Regions from separate parts of the Mus musculus genome. Here region 1 is reported to be linked to region 2. The links are microRNA targets in miRTarBase. Many come from high-throughput screens and were not tested one by one. Region 2 holds a microRNA gene; the other region holds the end of a gene's coding sequence.
The links. The annotated mature microRNA mmu-miR-34b-5p reads AGGCAGUGUAAUUAGCUGAUUGU and lies in region 2 at 2,112-2,134, opposite strand. An mRNA with a match to its seed (bases 2 to 7 or 8) in the 3' UTR can be bound and repressed. Matches are read on the target gene's strand: a 7mer-m8 pairs with bases 2 to 8, a 7mer-A1 pairs with bases 2 to 7 and ends in A, and an 8mer does both.

Region 1: miRTarBase lists Setd7 as a target of mmu-miR-34b-5p. Seed matches in the 3' UTR shown: 7mer-m8 at 3,543-3,549.

The regions. Positions count from the first base shown.
Region 1 is chr3:51,515,032-51,522,151 of GRCm38, reverse strand. Setd7 (SET domain containing (lysine methyltransferase) 7) reads left to right here. Exons shown (of 8, transcript NM_080793.5): 8 at 665-6,834. The coding sequence ends at 845. Among named protein-coding and RNA genes, the nearest start is that of Gm36008, 7.6 kb to the right of the region's middle.
Region 2 is chr9:51,101,499-51,108,618 of GRCm38, forward strand. Mir34b (microRNA 34b) reads right to left here and starts at 2,147; the gene lies at 2,064-2,147. It overlaps Hoatz (HOATZ cilia and flagella associated protein), which reads right to left and starts at 580. Exons shown (of 6, transcript NM_177702.4): 1 at 247-580. The coding sequence starts at 472. It overlaps Mir34c (microRNA 34c), which reads right to left and starts at 1,612; the gene lies at 1,536-1,612. It also overlaps a transcript of Btg4 not described here.

The DNA of each region.
Region 1 (7,120 bases), not on the chromosome of region 2:
ATCTAAGAAAACACTAGACACACACCTTTCTCCACAAACAGAGGAGCCAGCTAAATACTTAGCTCCCTCAGGCCCTAGAGGCCAATCTGATTTATGGCTGGCTTTTCCCCATGTGATGTGTTGTCCTCTGTCCCTTGCTAATCATGGGGGGTCTGCATGAAGGATGAGGGCTAGCAACTAGCTTAGCCGCTAAAGGCACTTGTCACCAAGCCTATTGTGTTTGATCCCTGGAACCCACATGGTTGAAGGAAAGGAGCGACTTCTCCAAGTTGTCCTCTGACCTCTCTCTCCAATATGTGCTGGGGTGTTCTGGGAGATTTGGGGTTTTAATTTTAGGACAGGATGTTGTATAATCCCAGTCTGGCCTCAGACTCACTATGAAGCCAAGAGACTGATTCCCCTCCCCCACCTCCCGAGCACTAGGACCACCATGCCTGGTTTATGGTTATGCTGAGACGAGCCTTGGGCCCCATATGTGTTAGATGAACACTTTACCAGCTGAGCCTTCCACCCCAGACTGCCTAGAGTGGGTGCTGAAGCTGGTGGGGGTGTGCCCCTTCTCTGAGAACTCGGGAGTGACACCCAGTGCATGTGGGTGAGCCGCTCCCTTGGCACTGAGGTCCTCGGTTGACCCAAGAGTGACCTTTCCCGTCTTAATGTTTAGGTTTGTCCACCCCCGTTTCGGGCCGATCAAGTGCATCCGCACCCTGCGAGCTGTGGAGGCCGAGGAAGAGCTGACCGTTGCCTACGGCTATGACCACAGCCCCCCGGGGAAGAGTGGGCCTGAAGCCCCCGAGTGGTATCAAGTGGAGCTGAAGGCCTTCCAGGCCACCCAGCAGAAGTGAAAGGCTTGGCACTGGGTCCCAGAGACCTGGAGTAGAAACTTGGATCTATGCACTACATTTATCTGACAACGGGACAACCAGGGACTATTCATGCCATGACATCACATCCTCTCACCCTGCGTTAGCAACGACTCTCTCTCTCTCTCTCTCTCTCTCTCTCTCTCTCTCTCCCCCCCCCCTCTCTCTCTCTCTCGCATACTAACTAGGTTTGACTGTATTACTCGTACCAGATTTAAAATTAGCTAGCCTTGCCACAACGCCCTACTGAGAGGTACTGTCGAACTGTAGACAGCATGATGTTCTTTGATGGTGAAAGTCTAAATCTGGACCGTGTTCAGAGATACCAAATGATGAGGCTGAAAAGGGGAAACGGGGTTCTTCAGTCTCTTCTTCTTCTTTTTATTTTTTTTTCCATGATGTTTTCTCTATGGCCAGTGCAAATGGTGTTGTCACCCTTGCATGTTGCCAACCGCAGGGCAGGAAGCAATTACATCTTTATATACACGTAGGGTCATTTGCCTTTTAACCTTTGATCTGTATCTCTTGCAGTAGAATGGCTTTGTTTTTGTTGTTCCTCTCCTAGTGACCCGAAGCCCAGTGTTTTGAGTAATTTCTTTAGCTTCACTATACTAGCTATACTTTACAAGAGAAAGCTTCCACTTGGATTTTGCATTTGTAGCAGCGTACAGGTCTCTCTGGTCCTTTCTCTGCCATTTCACTCTTACGTCCTGATATAAAGTCCTGGCTCCTAGGGCCAGACTGTTATTTATAGACTTACTATTCTCGCATGTAAACAAGGATATCTTTGCTTTCAGATGTGAGAAGAAATGGATTTACCTTGTTTGCATCAAGTTATGGAAGGGTTTTAAGATACACTTTCAGGAAGAAGAGAGGGAAGTTATATCTAAGCAGTTGTTATGGCAACTTTGCAGTATCTCCAGTAGTGTTGCTAATTTTTTCTTCTTCTTGGGTACACATTAATTGTACATAACCTAGTACAGTCTGGCTTGTGACACACACAGCTCATTGAATTCAAACACAATAGCCAGTGTGCATTCTAAGGCAGAATGCAAAATTCTCTTTGAAATCAGTGTCACGAAGGCAGACATGCTGATATCGATAGGTACAAATCAGATCTCTAGCTAAGGCTTCTCGTCACAGCGGATTTCAAAGCATTTAGCTGCTTCCAAGAGTTCACACCTGCGCGGTTAATCCCGCTAGCGTCTCAGCCTCCTCAAGCCATATGTAATCACAATTGCAGAAGTACAGAGAAAACCCCATTATTTTACTTTAGCACATTAGATCTGTAATGTAACTGGGTCGCTCTGAATGAATGCCGAGTTTGGGGAACACTCCCCTCCCCCAAGGTGTCCATCACCGAGAAGGCCTGGGAACAACAGTTGCTGAAGCCGGTAGCTGTCCACAGTGCTACCTGTGGCCTGTGTCGGTTTAGGCTTAAAAGCTAAAGCTTTCCAAGCTGCAATAAAGGGCTCTGGGAAAGGGGAGAGATGCTTGGGAGTAGGTGGAAATGGAGAGAGGAGACAGGTAGAGAGCGGTTTGATATTCTGTGGTCAGTTGCATCTTGGTCTTCACAACTTTCAGGAGTGCTTTATCTGGGGCTGCGACACAGCTTTTCCATCAAGAGCCCCAGGTGGAGAACTCAGCCCTCAGTTGTGATAGCCACCCCTGGGCTCTTTCACAAGCTTCCTGACATACCTACCGTCAGGCTCTGCACCCAGGTGACGATGCTGCCCGGGAGTGCTAGTCACATCCCTGTTTGAAAGCTTAAGGAGCGAGTTCCCTCGGGAGAAACGTCCTCTGGACTTTCGAGGAGCCTCCTGCAAAGAGGACTGAATAGTTTTCAGACTGCAAGTCAGCAGGATAGGATGGCTTCTATTCTGTAGAAAGACACCATTCAGTAAACTCTGACAGGAGGCTGAGTCTGTGGGTTCAGATTCTGAGAGGAGCTTTTCTGTAAATGTGCCCAAAGAGAGTTGGCTGCTTTGGGGAGAACAATGGCTGAACTTCAGTGACCAGATGAGAAGGAGGACGGAGGACGAGAGAACAGGTTCCACCTCCAATCGCCCAGGCTCACAGGATTTCACACCTGGGGATGGAACCTTAGCCTCAGTTGCTGTAGGGGCTCAACCTCTATCCTAAAGGGCTACTCTAGCAATCTCATCCAAATGGGACTCAAAAACAATTTGGGGGGGCTTAAGGGCCAGCAAAAAACGTTTAGCAGGTAAAGGTGCTGTTGGCAAGCCGATGGCCTGAGTTAAGCCTTAGGACATATATAGTAGGAGAGAAACAACTCCTGAAGGCTAGCCTCTGACCACACCCAGCATGGCACGCACCCGCCCCTCCACACACACACACACACACACACATGTGGCTGGGAAACCGATCTACTTTTCCCATCCCACAGTGGAGGAAGACACACTGGACTTCAAACCCAGCAGCAATGTGTCGGTGACCCTTAGACACAGGAAGCAGACCCTCAGAGCCGAGCCTCCCTGTCTCCCCTCGCCCTGGGTTCCTGGTGCCTTTCAGCTCCTTTTCTTCTGCTGTGTGAGAAGCCTGGGTGTGTGTGTGCAGAATGGCAGCCCAGCCGATTGCTCCACCTCTTTCCTTATGTCTTAAGTTCCTCTTCTCTCTTGCTGGACTCTGTGCCTTTCCCTGACTGTGACCCATTCCAGTCACTGCCCCTGCCTCCGCCTTCTCTATCCCTCTCCCTCCCTCTTCCTTTCCCTCCCTCTTCCTTTTACTCCCTCTTCCTCCCTCTTCTTCTCCCTCTCCCTCCCCTCCCCCTTCCCTTGCTTTCCCTTCCCCCTCCCTCCCCTTCCCCCTCCCCTTCTCTCTTCCTCTCTCCAAGTTACCAAGCATAGGTAACTTGCTTAGTCATAGGTTGCAACTGTTAAAGAGGCCAGAACCTCACTGTGGAGAAGAGAAGCAGACAGCATAGGCGCTGCATAGAGAATTAGCTGCTGAGGGAGGTTGGGGTTTGCTCCTTGCTTGAACCAAAACAGAAAAGCCTCCGAATGTGCCTTCTACTGTAGAAGGACATAGGAAGCGGGCAAGTCTGGTCTTCTCTCAGGATCATAATCACAAACAGCCATGATTGAGATTCTGTGTGGTAGAGAAGAAAAAGAACTGTGCGCTGTCTTCCTGACAGCTGGCGCTTGTGGGCTTACCTGCCTGACGTCAGCACGGGTCTCGAGAGGCCTCATTCAGAGCTGTCTCAGTCCAACCCTGCATGACTTGACCCATCTTTAGCATCTTTCCTATGCTGAACTATTATTGCCTTGTGTTAGAGTTAGGAGTTAGGACTAGGAACTAATCCATGGAGCACGTCCCCCCTAACTGGGGCATACGCTGGAACTAACAGAAGCAAAAGAAAGAACTGAAATTAGGACACAAAAGAATGATAAGGTTACAGAGTAACAGGCGGAAGACTTGAGTTTCTTAGTACAGATTCTTATTTTAATCCTCTCAATCCCTGACCTCTCCAGCAACTAAAAAGGAAACCTTTTTTTTTTTTTTGTCAAGGCCTCTTTGAACCTGACTGGGACTAGAGTTCAGCCTCATTCCCCTTTGGGGTTCATCAGTCTTGAAAAACTGTTTCCTTATCACCAACCCTCACACACACACACACACCCACACACCAACAAGGCCATGTAATCATTTACAACATTTAATTGTGACAATTAAAGTTGCGTTGAGCAGCAAATACAGCTCAAAGTCCAACATCTGCCTAGCAGCTAGAGGCCCTGGCTTACGTCCCTAGTACTGGGAGTGGAAGGGTCAATTGTGAACACTGAAATAAAAGGTTGTCTTCGTGAGACAGTATGTGACACTTTTATTAATTTTACTTAATTGGTTTAAGAAAAAAAATCTAAATTTCTCACTGCAAAAATGCACTTCTACATTTTCCAAGAAGGTCAAGAGTTCTAGGCTTTGGTTATTCTCAAACAGCCACCTCAAATTCTGTCTTCAAAGTAGAGATTTAGAATCCAGACATCTTTTATTTTAGACAAACAAGCAAAACTATGTTGCAAGATGGAGAGTCGCAATGTTTCTTTGCTGCAGATCAAAGGTTCACAAATATCTTCAATTTCCAGGTACAGGGAGGTACCTTGATAGATTCCCGCCCTGAGGCTTGCATTGCTGCAGCGGGGCAGCGGGGCTTGGATTGCTTTCCCTTCTAAAATTTTAAGCTTTGGTGTCAGTGTTTTTTGGGTTTTAGTTTTGGAGGGTTGTTTTTGGTTTTGGTTTGGTTTTGCCGGGGTTGGGGAGGGGAGGGGAGGGGTGGTGATTTTTGTTTTCAAAAAGACTCAATTTTGTAAGTTTTATTTTGCCAAACATGTGCATACATATTCAAAGCAATGAAACTATTTCAAGCCATAAAGCCGCAGGGGTGGAGCCCTTTCCACAAATTTTAATGTGTTTGTATGTAAATAGCTGTTTGTATGAAATATTTTCATGGTAGAATGAATATATTTAAATGAAGTTGAATTATTCCAGTGCTATTTAAACACAGGACAAAAATTTTTGGTGAGAATTATCTGAGTCTATTGAGATATAATGCAGATCAATTTTCATTTTTAGAAATCAAAAAGCCTACAAACCGCTCTGACTGATGACCACCTCCTGGTGGGGTGGCGTCCGATGTGAGGTAGGCTTCCCCAGTGCCTCAGCCGCTTTCTGGTGGTAAGTTCGGTGCTAAAGGAGACGTGTTTACCTTTTAGTGATTCCCGCAGGCCTCTGAGGGGCCTGAGAGCGAATCGAGGCGTTAGAGACACCGGTGCAGTTATACGAGCACAATTATTTTTGCAGGGCAGCAGAATCAGAAGCCAGACTTGTAAACCTCGGAGCTGGGTTTCCCGGCTACCTTCACTCGCCACCCCTAACTGCCTAGTCACGATGTCAGGGAAGCTACCCTCAGTGGAGTTGGGGTCTGGACCCCGGGGTGGGACTTCACAGAGTTACCAATGCTTTTTGCCTTCTGACCTCCCTCTCCTCGAGGGAGGAGGCGAGCAGCCGCTGGCAGGGGCCATCCTCAGCACAGTCCTTATCCAGTCTCAGCTCTGGAAGACTATGCATCTAAGCACCCGACTTCAGCCAGAGAGGGAGACTTCCGTGGATAATGGAAACCCTTGATTCCTGTCTGTGATTTTACACGCAGTTGTTAAATGTCATTTTAATATGAAGACCATTCATGTACCTAATACCTTCCAACTCTTGAGTTACTGGAAAGAAAAACAAAACAAACAAACAAAAAATCCTTTACAAAATGATATTTCACTTGAGTGCGTTCCCCAACCCACCTTTGGCCCTGGGTTATAACAAAACAATAATCTGACAAATTTCACTGTGTACGCTAGCAATATGAACACTGAGCCAGTGCCCCCTTACCTATCTACTTGGTTACTATAATTATTCTTGATGCTACAGGGGCTATGTACGTCACACCTGGTGGTTGCATAAGCGAGTTATGAAGTTATGTCCACGATTCTTGGCTCCTTTCTTCAAATGTTTTCTTTTTTTTTTCCTCTTGGTTTTTCTATGTTCTCTTTCTATCCTACGAGGCATTTTCTTGGGTTGTGAGGTACGTTTATGGAGTGGAAGCCAGGGGGTTATGCTTTCGGCCTTGATTGTAACCAAAAGTCAACCCATCACAGTTAAAAAGAAAAAAAAACCATCTTTGGTCTTTTGTGGAATTTGAACTAAATCTATGAGCCTTATTCAATATATAATTCTATGATTTTTTTTTTAATTACGGGAAATCAATGGAAGATGTTTACATGAGTAATGTTTGCCCTTACTGTGTTATGAATGAATTTTTTGTAGTGTGTCTGGGCGCATGTGCAAGAAAGTAGGAAAAATGTTTCTGAAACAAAACTTGACAAATATTTGTAATGAAAAGTAAACTTAAAGATTGCTATAATTGCGCTATAGAAACAATGCAAGTATTAAACAAAATATACAATCTCCTGTTGTCAGTTTTGTTTTGTTTTGTTTTGTTTTTTAGTTGTCTAGGCAAGAAAAGCAGCAACAGTGCCCATAGACTGTGCCTTCCTGTGTATTTAAATTACTAAATGAACTTTACATTGGAAGTTTGTTTAGAAATTCTTAATACAGGGATGGGGCCAAGGTGACTCAGTGGTTTAGATGACACACTGCCTGGGCCTTTGATCCCAACACTTGGGAGGAAAACACAGATCTGAGTTTGAGGCCAGCCTGGTCTACAGAGGGAGTTTCAGGACAGCCAGGGCTAC
Region 2 (7,120 bases):
TGGGAATTGAACTCAGGACCTCTGGAAAGCAGTCAGTGCTCTTAACTGCTGAGCCATTTCTCCAGCTCTAGAATGAATTTATATGTAACAATGAGATCCTTTACAGTGGAGAATTGCAGCAGTTTTAGAATTGTTTGTGTATTTGCATATACCTATTACTGCCTGTTTCTGCTTGTTTGTACTTCTCAATTGACTGACAATTAGACCAGGCAGTTTCCCCTTCCAGGAGGTAGCCTTGCTACTCACCTCTCAGAACGACTTTAGAGTTCCGCGCCACCGGTAGCCTCTGACTGCTGCCTCGGGTCAGCACGAGCTGAGATTCGGTAGTGGGGTACATGGACGCCCCGAGCCAAAACTGCTTAGCCAAATTGGCATCCTGCTCAGAGCAGCCGGTGAACACCAGTAATCCAGGGGAGCAGATTTCCTGGGATTCCTTCCTGCCGCTAGGACAGCCTCTGGGCCCCGTTTCCATGGTGACTCAGGACGCTTTCCTTAGCTCTGGCGTCCCGCCCCTACCGGAGAACCGTCCTGTTGGTAACTGCCACCACCGGAATGCCTGTGTTTCTTCTTCCGTAGATCTGGGGTTCCTCGAGGGCTTGTGGCCCATCAGCAGCTGGCTTCTGTCGAGGTCACAATTTTCGGGGCCAGTCAAGCCTTAAGAGTAAAAGCCTCAACTTTGTGATGTGTACAGTCCTGGACTGTCTCTTAGATCCTCAGCCAGCGTCTCCTCCTCCCCCAGATAGCCCAATAATGTGAGCTTTAAAGAGCGCCTTCCTCTTTTGGACAAGATTGCCAAGGCTTCGCACTCTTACCTCTGGGGAAATTCTCAGGTTTGCATTGATACATCTGCATAAAGCGCTAATCTAGAACTGGGCCGAGAAGTACCGGTGGATACAGCTTGTGTGATTTAAAACCTCTCAAATCTTTTATTACAGATATTAGGAAACCAGCTGGTTTTAAATCGTGTTCACTAATTATTCCCACGAAAAGTTGCCTAGAACGCAACTGTTAATACCTTAAAAAATATACCTGGTTAAGTGGGCTGAGTTCCCTTGCCCCATGGAAAATTATGAAAACATTTAACGTTCCCTTCCAGGTCACAATCATGTGTGAGACGTTTCCCTGGAGATTTTGTCTGTATAGCAACTAACCATTTAATGACTTTACGGGGTTGACAGGAGCTGAAATGGAGATCCTAAAGCCAGTTTTTGGAAAGGAAATGAACACGATTGCTGAGATTTTCGTGGCGCTTTATTTTTTAGAGTGTTATTAATATGTCAGGCAAAGTCCAAAGATTTATAATCACAAGTCAATATAATGACCAAATCAGCTAAGGGATAATTTCTATTTTTCCAATATATCTAAAAATCACAAAAAATGTACCCCACACAAATTGATACATTGTATACTTAGCAGCTAAGGGCTAGCGGTTCCCCCCCCCCCCCCAAACCACTAATAGTATGGTAAGAATATTTCCCTATGGCTCTGTCCTCACCAAAATGACGATTCACAGGAGGCTCAGTCGGAGGAATTTCAGTCTTTTTACCTGGCTGTGTGGTTAGTGATTGGTACTATTAGCAATCAGCTAACTACACTGCCTAGTAACTAGACTCAGAAAAAAGCATGCAGTCTTTAGCTGGTGCTCTCAGACTTTGGTGTGACCAGAGCAAATCGTCAGCCAAGCTGTGGTTGACTCTAGTCGCTGCCTTGGTGATAGCTTTCTCAGAAGTGGAAATCAGGCAGTGAATCACAGCAGCAGCAGGAACTGTTCTGGGGGGGGGGGGGGGGGGGCTCTTCCTGGCCTTTTTTTTTTTTTTTTTTTTTATGTTAAGGCCGGTGTATACCGATTCTCTTTACACATCACTGAACCGTTTTTGCTCTGGCTCTTACACACAGGTAGCCGAACGGTCCCTAAAGGAGGCCGCCGGTCTCCGAGGGTTACTTGCACTTAGACCTCGTGCTCCCGGCCCTTTGCTGACGCATCCTGGCTCCGGCCTCGGCTTTCTGCGGAGTCAGTGGGGCTGCAGCGCTGGCTTCTCCTCCCGCGGGCGGCGGGTGATGCTGTGCCTTGTTTTGATGGCAGTGGAGTTAGTGATTGTCAGCACCGCACTACAATCAGCTAATTACACTGCCTACAAACCGAGCACCGGGCGCCCGCCACTGCAGCTCCCGAGGGTCGGGCCCCTCGCCCCCTTTCGCCACGGTCGACAGGCGAGGGCGGCGGAGCGAGAGGTGCCTCAGGCTCCCGAGGCCCCTCCACACCCAGCAGGGCCGCGCGCGACCCCAGGTGAACCCCCAGGCGCTGAGGCCCCCTGTCCCCGCCGTCCCCCCCGAGACCCCCGACTCAGCCCGGACCCCAGGGCATCCGGCCCGAGTCCTTCTTCCCGCAAGCCGGGTCTGACCCGCCTCCAACAACTTCTTCACGGCTTCCAGACCCAAGTCTAGAGCCGGTTCTGTCCAGCCCGCGCGCCCCGCAGCTCCTACTGGCCGAGTGACCGTGGCTCAGCGACCAACCGCCCTTGGAACCCCGAGGCCGAGGGGGCGGGGCGAGTGGGGGAGGGGTGGCAGAAGCTACCAGAAGGGGCAATGGGAGGGCTCCTGCAGAGCCTCCTGGGAAGGGGCCGGGGAGATGGAGAGACAGATTCTTGAGAAGTTTATCTTCACAGTGTAGTTACTGCTACATCGAAGAAAGAAGCGCAGAGACCTACATCCATCTCTCCTTCCCAATATATTGCCCAAGAAGCCCCAGGCCTCCTCACTGTTCATATGCCCATTCTCAGAAACCGCTTCCCAGGCGTCTCATCTGGAGCCTTCCTGCCTGAGCAGGCCTGGGCACTCATACCTGCAGGATTGCCCTTGCCTGTACCCAAGTTCTTTCTTAGGACTACCTCTTACAGGGCCATACAGTGAAGTGTGGGCCACTCTTCTGGTCAAACATTGAACCAACACCCTTGTTGGTAGGTCAAAGTTGTGGCCCTTATAAGATCAAAGACACAGTTTTGATGATCTCCCCGTGAGCCTTGAGGATATCTAGTCTCACTTTGGGCTCCTGTTTTATTTAAATGTTACAAATCCAGCACCTAACAGGCGTTTGTCTTACTACCCATCAGACAGTCTAGGTGGTAACAAAATGTGAACACATTATTTATTACTCCAGACAGTATAAAGTTGCTAAACTGATAGATTTTCCTAATAGAAAAAAACAGGTATGGGTGGGGGTGGGAGGTGTGCCAACAAGAGCTGACAGACACCATCATGGAGGAGGTGAGAGTTCAGGTAGATCCTTGAAGCAAGGGTAGATTTGGACATTAAGGATGAGGTCTGTAGAAGCCCGAGAAGCCATATCTTCTGTCAGTTACATTCCCCTTGTTTTTGCTATTTTATATCTGATAACGGGGTGCGTGTTTGTGTATATTGGGAATAGGAGGCGCTGAGGGGACAGCATTTCTGCGCCATCTTCACTAATATTTCTTTCCTTTAGTCTTTCCTCTCCTTTCCTTTAATTAATTGAGCCCAGAGAGGATATACAGTATTCTCTGATTGCAAACTTTGTGGAATTCAGTAGGAAGTAGCCGTCCCAGACTGTGGTCTTCCTGTATGCTGTATGACACCCATTTGTATTGATCCAACAGTCTTGCAGTCTACAAAGGGACATTTCTTAGCTATACACTGATACCTGTAAGCCCAGCAAATGGTCTTGTAGATGCCACTAATTACATGAATATATGCCAATCATCAGGAACATTCAACACAAATTCCAAGTGGAAACCATTAAAACCCAAGAACTTCCCAAGAATAAACTTGTGTATATTTTAACATTATCTTTGAAAGTAAAAGACAATGTTTTTTTCCTTCAGAGTCATTGTTTTATGAAGGCTTAAGTGAAAGGAAAATGAAGTAGAAAATGCCAGATTATTATAAAATTAACTTATGAAAGACATTTGTAAATAACTATCTTGTATTCAGTCTTCTTGTATTTGAGAAAAGTATAATGTATCCTACAAAAGGTCATTTAAACGTTCAAATATAAATAAAAGTAGTAGAAATAGCCTCCATCCCATAAACACTATGAAGAGTTACAAGTTTTAGGAGGACATCATTAAAAAATCATTTATTTTGCATTTTGCTCAATTTCACTCCATGTGTCATGCTTCCACCCAGCTTAGGGATTTTCTCTATTAGTAGCATCTTAAATATCTTACCTGAGTTTTATTGCTTCCATCCAAAGCTATCATTGCATAAACTGTCTTGAAATTTAGACTAAATTTTTTTCTTCAATGATAAAAAGTAAAATGATGAAAAAAAAATGCGTGTGCCCTAGTTCTGTTAGAAAGCAACAATAGAAAAGAATGTCTGTTCTTAGGGTTGCTGTTGATCCTGCCCACAGTTACTAGAGAAACTCCAAGGATCTTATTGCATCTGCTGGTCATGCCTAGGCATGTCTAGAGACCAGGGAGACTCATGTTTTAATCTAAGTAAGAATGCCTGTGGTGTGGTTAAAATGCCCAAGCAGACCATTACATTTGGTTAGATAGATCCAGGAAGGCACCTTGAGGAGGAGCTGTTTACTGCTTTAATTTCTGGGTTTTTGTTGATCTGGGAGATGGGGTAGGACCTTTGAGGAGATGGGTTGATAGTATTGACCGGAAGGAAACCATGAAAAGTATCAAAAACAAGAACTTCCTGCGTGAATCTGACAAATTTATCTTGACTTAATTTATGACTCCTGTAAAAGGGCCATCGAGAGATGACTTCCTCCTGTCAGTACACACAGCACATCGTCTGTACACGTCCTCTTTGTTTTTAGATAGGGACTCAATTAGCTCAGGCTGGCCTTGAGCTCTTGTTCTTCTTGATACAACCTCCCAGTTGCAGGCTATTTCTGCAGCATTTGAAGGTTCTTGTTAGGGAGGAAAGAATGAAGGACACTAATTAGAAAGCAATGATCTTTAGCCACTTCTTTTAAAACATTTCAAAAATGCATACTTTCCTAGGAAATAAAACCATGCATTTTTTTATGCAGACTATCAAATGTCAGATGACCATATTAATATTCACGATAGTATGCTTAGGAACTAGTTTATAAGTTGAAGCAAGGCTGAGTTGAAGTCAATTTAGCCCTTGAATAATTACAAATCAATGAATCTGTTTAATCATAGTGGGTTGTCATCTGAGCTAGAATGAACTGCCAGCAGCTCTATACCTCTGGTTTCAACTCAATGAACTCTCATTAGGAAAAGTTCTCAATTAGCTTCTTGTTTCCATTTCTCAATTAACCAATAGTTTTGCTTTCAGTATCAAATGTTAATTTACTTTTTTAGGAACAATCTAACAAAAATAGCTTCCTAGTTAAGGTTGATGGAGCTCTTACTCCAGAAACAATTCTTGTCTATTTCTCATCTCTAGGGAACAACAGTCTCCAGAGATGTGGTTTAATTGGAGGGATAGACAGTTTGTTTGTATAGATAATTAATATAGTTAAATTATGTTAATCATATTAATGCATCATAATATTAATATATAAATTATTATATTAATGCATAAAATGTTTAGATAATATATTTATATCACATAAAATATATTGAATGTCTAAGTACTTAGATTACTAAGTGCTTAAGAAATCTTGAATTCGAGTGCTGTTATTGTTAACATTTGGGGAAAACATAATTAAAAAGCACCAAAATATGGGACAAAAATAGGGCTATATAGAAAAAAAAACCAGCATTGACTGAATTATAGTAGGAGGTAGGCATGAGAGACTAGAAACGTTAGCGTAGGGAGTTTGAATATCATTCTGGCTCTCGGAGAGCCCCTGATGCCTACAAAGTGTATGTTGTTTTATGGGGATTAAAGTATCATGGATTACAGAGGGGGCTGAGCTTCAATGTAGGAGATGATTTTTAACAGATGCACATATGGAATGATAGAGGAAATACAGAATAAGGGATTTTGTGAAAGAAAATGTTTAGGACTTGATGTCTGATTAACCATTTAACAAGATCAGCTGCTAACTCCAGGGACAAATTTGAGGAGCTGAGGGAAACAGAATCAGAGGATGTTTATAACGAGTTGAGTTTGGGTCTAAGCAAGGCTGGGTTTGGGCTATGGATGAACATCATAATGAAGGTAAGTATTTAAACTGGAATTCTGGAAAGAAGTCAGAATTAAGAAGAGGGATTAGCAGTTTTCTGAAACTGTGAAAATTAAATCAAAGAGTTGAACAAAGTCCATGAAGGGTGTGGTAGCTTATTCTTGCTTGTTATAGTTCTTTCAGGAAGGAGGAAGTAAGTGACCAACAGTGGAATGCCCTCCTCTCCTTTTTAATCCTGGAATGGAACCCAGATACATGTTAAGTAGATGGTTTTCTCCAAGGTGCACGTAGACAGATGAACTTCCCTGACTGTAGACTGGCTCCTGCCACTTTAAGCAGATCTCAAGTAGATTTCCTGGTTTGTAAAAGTAATTTTGGGGTTTCAGAGTAGCTAGCTGGTTGTCTGAGTGTGTTGCTGAAGAGTTCATTTTCCTTAAGAGGTCCTAGTAGGTATTCTTAAGTCTGTGAAGCCCAAATAGGAAGCTACCTGTCAACTAATCTATTTGCAAGCATGCAATCAGTGTCTGCCTTTCTCAGAGGCGTCACTTTGTGCACAGTTATTCATTGCAGTTGTTTTTACTGTCCTCATTGAGCACTTAAGACTTCTTGATTCCTGTATCGAGCGTGCATATAGTTTAACAATTATACAACTCATTTCTTTATTTTCTCTAACTCATAACGTGTATCTCAAGGATTTCATTGTGTTTATATTTAGCTGAACTTATGTTGTCTCCTCCCCTCTTGGTCCATCCACAGCGTGTTTAAAGCTCAGGCCTATCTCCAGGAAAAATATCCCAAGGTGCCTTTAGAGCTCATCTTCTTTCTGTTTCTTCTTCTCTACTTTCTCTTGAACTCAATATACTCAGTTTATAGTTAGTATCTTCCATTAATAAACATATCAATCACCAATACTTTCCTTACTTGATTAGGACAGCATCCAATGTTGTCACACATACAGACACATTTATTACATCAGTGCACACTGTGTGTATAAACAGTTCTGCACACTCCAGTGTCACACATACAGAC